Linked DNA regions of Kluyveromyces lactis. The protein of the gene in region 1 purifies or fractionates together with the protein of each later gene. This does not show direct contact. Links are inferred from orthologs where the notes say so. Each region holds a gene or a part of one and is shown in the gene's direction. Other genes may lie near its edges.

Region 1 (4,033 bases):
ACATTCCTATCTCGTTTTCATGCGCTGCATAATCAGATACACAACCTTTATAAATTTATACATCTTTAAATTAATTAGCATATCATATTTATTACATTCATCATATGTACAGGTTTCATTCTATTTAAACTTTTCTGATAGCGTAATTGCGTGCTAATATTTCATTTTTGTGCTAAGGACTCATAACCTTTCAATTTTAACCATTCTTTGATTCCACAATTTGCAAGTAATTTCGATGCATAGTCATTCTCATAATAATGCTGTAGTTTTCCCGAGTTTTTCACATCGAAGCTTCCATCAGCTAATCTCTGGATCATATCCACTTTGGTAAATACCATTGGTATTGCGGCCTCATTAAACAGCCTTATTCCATCTTTTGTAAACAAAGTTGGAGAGCTCATTATCATTATGCTCGAGTTTCTTTTACGAGCGGGAACTTGCATGGAGAATGATCCAATTAATTCCCGTACCTGGCGGCCAGTAACTTTATCTGAATTGAAAGCCTTACATTGAATGTAACAGTCTAAATATTTATCGGGTTTCACCCTATGTTTCCATGGTTTTATCGATGTAGTCGGAAGTTTCAAACGTTTAGGTAGCTCATCGAATTGTATTTGCATTTCTATAGCCTTTGTTAATGGTAAAACGTTCCATTTGCCCCGAATATCAATGCCGCCATCATATGAACCGCCAACTACCTGCATATCCTCCAGTCGGAGCTTATTCATTAATTCTCGTACCACCGTGAGCTCATATAGCGTACCTTGAAAAACGGTAGAGTTGGCGATGCTCTCATTGGCAGCAATATACTTCTGTAAAGTATCTTTGGGAAATGAACTTGCAAAAACCCCTTTCCAACTCATCTGTATACCTAATAGGCTATCATGGACAAAATAGACCAGCTGGCGTTCTCGCCATTGTTAGTCTCATCACCTCCATGTATCATTTGTATCACCAAAATTTGGATCGGATTCAAATAACTAAAAAAAATGTAAATGTCATAGAACCGACATACCTTGAAGTCTATTGATCTAGCTTACATACAGCCATATACATGCAGTCATCACTTCAAAAGATGATTTCGACACAACCAATTGTTACCCCTGAACCAAAAGGATCAGAAAATAGTGGTAATTCCAACGAAGATGTTCCCACCGTGTTTGAGATAGCCTCAGATATTCAGCAAAAGTTACAGGACTTACTGCGGAAAGTGAATGACGATGATGTACAATTTAACAAATTCGCCGATTCAATCAACGATAGACTCAAGAATTTAGAAGAGTGATTCGTTATTATCCATAGTCATATAGCATCTATCACATGTATACAAGACCGTTGAATGTTGCCATATCTGTTCACGTATAATATAATGGTATAAATTTCAACATTTAATTGAAAAATATATGTGGTCTTAATAAAGGACATAAAAAAGGCAAATTGACAGATGAGCATACAATAGTATTCTGGCTCGACTGCTTATTAATATAACAACAGTCAACTGCCCACCAGATATTGCACTATGGTAAAGAAAGCCAAGGCTAATAAACGCCGTTCAAAGAATAAAAATGGATCTGTGAAAGAGGATGCAGAAGAAAGGAAGAAGAGGCTTTCCAGTTTGTTACAACAAGTGTCATCAGAGAATGGCAACACCTCGCAACAGGTAATTAATGAACCTTTAGTTATCAAGGATGAAAGTCTCAATAAAGTGTTACAAAGATTTAAAGCTTCGGCTACAGGGGCCGATGAGGATGATGATTCAAAACGGGAACAAGCCATAGTACGAAAAGAACGGGCTGATATTGACGATGAGGATGCTGAGGGTTCCGACAGTTTTGAGGATCAAGCGGATGAAGTACTTCAAAATATATCAGAAAGACAAAAGAGACTTGCTAACAAACCAAGTATTGCTGTTTTGAAAGCTTCAGTACCATATCCGGAACTCATCGAATGGTTTGACTGCGATGCGCAATGGCCTTATTTCAATGCAGCTATAAAGACAACACATAATACAGTGGGGATCCCCAGACATTGGCAAATGAAAAGAGGTTATTTATCTGGACGATCAATGATGGAAAGGAAGCCATTTCAATTACCTGAGATTATTAGACAAACCGATATTGAAACGATGCGAGAGACTGTTCCCTCTGGAAACGAAAAGCAAGCAGAGAAATTGAAGGATATTACCAGAGCAAAAGTTCAACCCAAGCTAGGTGTATTAGATCTAGATTATAAAAGGTTGTACGAAGCATTTTTCACTTTGGGAAAGAATTGGAAACCTGAACTATTGTCATTTGGTGATTTATATTATGAAAACAGAAGTTTGGATAGTGAACTCGAATGGAAACAAATAAAGACACGATATAGACCAGGGTATCTATCGGAAACTTTAAGGGAGGCATTAAATCTCACGGAGGGGATGCTCCCGCCTTGGTGTCATGAAATGAATAGATTAGGACTACCCAAATCATACCCTGGTATGAAAGTCTGTGGAATAAATTGGGAAATCTCTAATCTTACCGGTACACAATACGGATACTACCCTGAAGATACTTTGAGAATACCCAAACAAAACTTATTCGGAGCCATGTTCTCATTTGAAGAATTAGAAGATCAAGACGCACATATTGATCCAGATCCGTTGAACGAATCAATTTCCGACGATGAGGTGTCTTCAGACGCCAATGAAGCGGAAGCAACAAAAACAGAAAGCGAGACACATGAAAACAATAATTCAGGCTTAGTGCCAATTGATGGAGGCTCTGTAGTCAACCAGCACTATGATGAAAATAGACCCTTATTTACTGTTCTAACGGAAGCTAAATCAAACGAAGTCGACGGATCTACAATAATCAGTTCCACTACCTCTTACAATATTACGAACAAACGATCAACAAGCGTAGAGGAGAAGGACGATGATAATGTCTTACATAAAAAACAGAAAGTGGAAGAAGAGCCTGACTTCCGTTTTTGATCTTTACATTAACTCGTTAGAAACCCTACGTTTCAAAAGTGTCAGCTGTTTCCCTTTAATTACGTAAAATATTTGTAAATGTGAGTATGTAACTATATCAAAAGTATCATTGGATTGCAACATGTTTTAACTTTATTGCAGTAGGTGAGTAATAAACTCCTTGAATCGTACCAGCTCCGCTTGCTAACTATTACCTTCAGTTCGTTCAAACCCAAACATTTCATTTTCAATGTATCTCTAAACTGAAAAATTTACAATAGTCAACGTCTAAATCATGAAAATTATCAAGTTCAACAATCATATTCATGACTGAATAAATGGAGAAACACTCTTACTGGCTTGCTTATCTACACTCAGCGACCCATTGATCTACACTAGCATGTATAAAAAAAAGGGACTATCTCACGGGAAAGTGGGACTTCCAATTGGTAGGTCTAAGGATGACAGCAATATGTTGGAAGCACTGCAACTATATGAAGGTAAAAATTACAAGAAGTCGTTGAAGATCTTGGACACAATCTTGAAGAAGAACAGCAGTCATGTGGACTCTATAATTTTGAAGGGATTGAACTTGCAATTCTGTAGTACACCTGAAGAAGCTGCTAGTTACATTGATAAAGCGTTATCCAAAATTAAAGGCACTCTTGTAAGTCCAATTGGTGGACACTTATTAGGAATTTATTACAGACAGGTGAAAAATTACTCAGACGCTGTAAAGTGGTTCAAGGCCGCATTAGAAAATGGTTCTACAAACACTCAAATCTATAGAGATTTGGCGACATTGCAATCTCAAATTCATGATTTCAAAGGCGCGCTGGAATCGAGAAAAAAGTACTGGGAAAACTACAGAGGATATCGTGCCAATTGGACCTCATTGGCCATAGCACAAGATTTGAATGGGCGTACGCAAGACGCAATCAATACTCTTTCGACATTTGAAGAGCTTGCTGAAGGCAAGTTGGGTGAACCAGAAATGTATGAGAACAACGAATGTATCATGTACAAGAATGATCTTTTGTACAAGAAGGCAGGCAACGATAAAGAATCCTTGGAAAGAGTTTT
Region 2 (4,889 bases), on another chromosome or scaffold:
GGAAACGTATATTGGAGTCTTTTTGGAGGGTAGTACACTCTTAGAGTCTGTCGTTTCCAAGCGAACATCATGTGGTTTGTTATTGTTGAGATCGAAACAGTTGTCGTCGGTTGCAAAATATGATTCGTCGACCTGTATCATAACGTCCCAATGTGAGGGAACGTGAACACATATTTTTGAGCTTTGTTCGCCAAGCAAGCTGCCTCCACGGATTTTCTTACCAAATAGTTTTGAGATGCTGAAACTAACTTCTTTGCTTTGAGGTAACGGGAAACATTGGAACGCGTCGTGTGGTCTATTCGTGTCACAACGAAGTTCGTCGCCTGGTAAAGGCTTCGGAATTGGTCTGTCAGCTCTGGCCAAAGCATTTGGTACGTTGACCACTGTTTCGATAAATTCTTCCATAACAAAGTGGCAATTGGCAGTTGATTCGTCACAAACAGTATTGACATCAATCGACAGACTGTGCCAATTTGAATCAAAGATCTTGTGGCCATCTAACAAAGAGGAGATACCAGATTTCCCTCTTGTTGGTAAAAGTTTTACAAATGGGGTCAAATTTTCAGTACAAACCGGTTCGTTGGCTAAAGTTGCTCTCATGAGGTAAAGATGGTTGCTTTGATTCAGTAGTGGGATCGCTTCGTCTTCTTTCGGTAAGAATGATGATACCGGAAACGTCGTCTTTGAAGTGTCAATGAAATTGATGGAAGCACAGAACAATCCACTTAACGAATTGGCCAACGTTATCCATGATTTCAACGCTTCTTCCTTCGATGGTGCTTCCACAATAGCCCATAATTCCACACCTGTTCCTCCAGATTTCAACCCGTTGTGTGGAAGCTGGCCCCATTCTTGTGAATCCCATAGCCCATGTGTAAATCTCAAGTGTAACTGTCTGGTATTAGTCTGTGACATAATGGGCCCAACGGGCTTCGGGAAAACTGTGTGATGAGAGTATTCACTGGATTCGTGCTGGTCTCTATCTATACCAAATGGCTCTGATTGCATATAGAACTGAAAACTTGCAAGCAAAAAGTTGTTAGGCAAGGGAGTTAGATCCAGATGCTCTCGAAAATTATACTCAATAGGATGCTCTAGTGAAAGAAACTTCGAGGACTGTGTTATTCTCGATGATTCCCCAGGCTCTGCATTCCAGCTTTCATCTATAACATCTTGCTGAACTGATTCTGTTTCGTTGTCAACTGGATTAACTTCAAAGTCTACTTCAGCCGTCACGATGGCTGCTAGAAGCAAAACTGGAATCCAATTTTGTAACCTCATGCGGTATGGACCCAGAGTATAATACTTTTCTAAAAGTTAGGCTATTTTCTGGCCTCTTAACTAAACTATCCTCTTTTCTCTGTTGAGAAGTATCGTTCTTTGTTTTGTATATGTGTTTATAATTAAAGATTCGAGTTACAACTTAGTAACAATTTTGATGTCAAGAACCTTTGAATCAAAAGGAAGAAAGGTATAACTGAAAGGCAAGCACCAATCAGGATCTTTATTGCTATTGCCGAGTTTGGTATTAAACAGCTGTACTTAAAATGGAAGCTATCAAGTTCGAAAAGTCGGGCCAGCGACATTCTCTTACAGGACAATACACTGCTCCCAGAGCCATATTGGAATCGACTGTAGGGAAAGATGAGGGGGATGATGAGTTGACAGCCAACCAGAAGCAACGAAGCTTGTATAATAAACAGTCTGATTATCATAAGAGAAGGTTCCTTAGGAATTTGGATGAAGAAGTGGATGAAGAGCAAGTGAAAGATGTGAAAAGAAGGAAAACCGATAAGGATGGTGATAAGGAAGAGGAAAGTGGCGGTGGATATACGATGCCCAAGACTTCGCAGCATATTATAACTGAGCTCTCGGAAGAGATGGTTACTGAAGTTCCAGGGGTACGTAATCTTCAGTTCTTTAAGCCTTCAGACAGACAACATTTCGCAATTTTGTTTGATGAAAGGTCTCCAGAAGATATGACTGAAGAGGAAAGGAAACAGAAACAGGTTTTAAAATTGGTACTTAAGGTGAAAAATGGGTTACCAAGCTCTAGGAAAATAGCTCTCAGAGCACTCACTCAAAAGGCACCCTCTTTCGGGGCACCATTGTTATTTGATTCGATCTTGCCCATTCTTCTCGATAAAACACTTGAAGATGAAGAGCATCAACTAATGTTGAAACTTATGGATAGAATTCTTTTCCAGCTCCAGGATTTGGTAAAACCATATACACATAAGCTCCTAATAGTATTATGTCCTATGCTTATAGATCCTGTGCCCTTGACTAGATCTACAGGTAGAGATATTATAACTACTTTGGCAAAAGCCGTGGGACTACCGACAATGATATACACAATGAGACCAGATCTCGACCATGAGGATGAGTATGTGCGAAACACGACGGCGAGAGCAATGGCCGTTGTATCGAAAGCCTTCGGGGTAAGTCAAACAATACCATTCCTACGATTGGTTTGTAGATCGAAAAAGAGCTGGAAGGCAAGACATACTGGGATAAAGATAATTCAGCAAATTGCTATTTTAGTAGGGATTGGTAGCTTACCATACCTCGACGATCTTATCGCATGTATAGAGAAGGGATTTCAAGATGAACATCCTCCAGTGAGAATCATAGCCGCTCAAACAGTGTCATCATTGGCACAAAGCTGCCAGCCATATGGTATTGAGCGCTTTAATCCGGTCCTCGAACCACTTTGGAGAGGTGTTAAACAAAACAGGGGAAGAGAACTAGCTGCATTTTTGAAGGCTCTAGGATTTCTCATTCCGTTGATGGATCCCGAATATGCGTCGTATTACGCTGAAGAAGTGATGAAGATTGTAAAGAGAGAATTCAATTCACCGAACGAAGATATGAAGAAAACGGTTCTATTTGTTATACAAAAGCTTTCCGTGACTGAAGGTGTAACACCTCAGTATCTGAGAAAAGAGCTAGCAGCAGAGTTTTTCAAACAATTTTGGGTTCGTAGATCGGCTTTGGATCGTCAACTCAACAACATAGTAACATTTACTACTGTTTTATTGGCTAATAAGACTGGAGCTGCATTCACGCTTGAAAAGCTTATATATCCATTAAAGGATGAATCTGAACCGTTCAGAACAATGGGTGCACATGCAGTTAACAGAGTTGTGAAAGCATTAGGAATGACAGATGTTGATGAAAGGCTTGAAGCGAGGTTGCTTGATGCTTTACTTATTGCATTCCAAGATCAAACGAATGGTGAGAGAATTGTCTACAGATCTATTGGAACTGTCGCCAAATCTTTGAATACCAGAATGAAACCGTATATTTCGCCGGTGTCAAGTATTATTCTAGAACATTTGAAACACAAAAAACCTTTGGTTAGAACACATGCGGCGAGTTTATGTGCCCTCTTGATCCCGGTTTTCAAACACTGTGAAGAAACAGCTCTTATCAATAAATTCAACATTATCCTTTTTGAATCGTTAGGCGAAGTTTATCCAGAGGTGTTAGCTGCAATCATTTCCGCAATGGACAAAGCTGCTGCACAGATAAGGCTAACTGACTTACAACCACCTCCGAATCAAATTTTACTATCATTGACACCAATTTTGAGAAACAACCATCCTTTAGTCCAGGAATCTACTGTTAAACTTGTTGGAAGAATTGCCAGGCGTGGGCCTGAATATGTTTCTCCTAAAGAATGGATGCGCATTTGTTCTGAGCTTTTGGAAATGTTAAAAAGTCCTGTGAAGTCCATCAGGGTGGCAGCGAACAGAACATTTGGATATATTGCCAAAGCGATAGGACCTCAGGATGTTTTGGTAACGTTGTTAAATAATTTGAAGGTGCAAGAACGTCAACTTCGTGTTAACACCTCTATTGCAATTGGTATCGTTGCTAAGACATGTGGGCCATTTGTTGTCATACCTGCATTGATGAATGAATACAGAACACCTGACACAAACGTACAGAACGGTATTTTAAAGGCACTTGCCTTTATTTTAGAATACATTGGTCCCATGTCTAAGGATTACATTTATCCACTTATACCGTTGTTGCAGGATGCTCTAACAGATAGGGACTTGGTTCATCGACAAACTGCAGCAACCTGCATAAAGCATTTAGCTTTCAATTGTGCAGGAAGAGGATTAGAGGACGCGTTCATCCATTGCATGAATTTATTATTGCCAAACGTCTTTGAAACTTCACCTCATGTTATTTCCAGAATCCTAGAGGGGCTAGAAGGACTAAGAATGGCTCTAGGACCAGGTGTTTCTATGAATTATGCCTGGGGAGGTTTATTTCATCCTGCTAAGAATGTTCGGAACGCATATTGGAAACTATATAACGGAGCATACGTCGCTCAACCAGATGCTTTGGTTCCGTACTACCCTGTCAATGAGGTAGAAGAGCTTAACTTGTTATTATAACTAGAAAATTGCAGTAATTATTATGTAGTTAAAAATTAAAGATTCTATTGGTTTTAAACTAAGTTAGTGATCTCTCAAGGATCGGAAGAAGTAGAACTCCTGTCGTCTTCCTCACCTTCTTCAATATCATCGGTATCATCACTTTCATCGCTGCTTGATTCTTCTAATTGGGCAACATCAGATTCCGTTTCTGATTCTTCCTCTATAACGATCTTCGTTTTCTTCGGTTTCTCTGGGATATCTGCAAAGAATTCATCCAAACTTTGTAGTTTGTAAGTTTTCCCTTTTGAGGATGTGAAAGTTTTTGGCTCTGGACTTGATGATTTGCTGGATATTGGCGAGGAGGCCTTAGGTTGCTGGTAATTAGCCCTAGTCCTACTAGCGAAGAAAGTATTAGATGAAATGCTAGATTTATTCTTCATGAAATTGTTAGTTTCAACAGGCGTTCTGTCCACCTCAGGTACTTCGGTTGACCAC

The links. The genes of interacting proteins can lie anywhere in the genome.
Region 2: the proteins of CUS1 (region 1) and HSH155 purify together in Saccharomyces cerevisiae (affinity purification with mass spectrometry; 8 studies listed by BioGRID, with this or other methods). This does not show direct contact. The link is inferred for Kluyveromyces lactis from reciprocal best matches to the Saccharomyces cerevisiae genes CUS1 and HSH155.

What each region holds. Positions count from the first base shown.
Region 1 is NC_006042.1:789,797-793,829, reverse strand, and holds CUS1 (U2 snRNP complex subunit CUS1), read left to right. Parts: upstream 1-1,519; coding exon 1,520-2,971; downstream 2,972-4,033. Other genes in the region: RRG7 (Rrg7p), read right to left, coding at 162-863; BIL1 (Bil1p), read left to right, coding at 1,055-1,285; peptide alpha-N-acetyltransferase complex A subunit NAT1, read left to right, coding at 3,351-4,033. UniProt on the Saccharomyces cerevisiae protein: Essential splicing protein required for U2 snRNP binding to pre-mRNA during spliceosome assembly.
Region 2 is NC_006037.1:834,106-838,994, forward strand, and holds HSH155 (U2 snRNP complex subunit HSH155), read left to right. Parts: upstream 1-1,547; coding exon 1,548-4,412; downstream 4,413-4,889. Other genes in the region: GPI-anchor transamidase subunit GPI16, read right to left, coding at 1-1,281; APL6 (AP-3 complex subunit beta), read right to left, coding at 4,487-4,889. UniProt on the Saccharomyces cerevisiae protein: Contacts pre-mRNA on both sides of the branch site early in spliceosome assembly.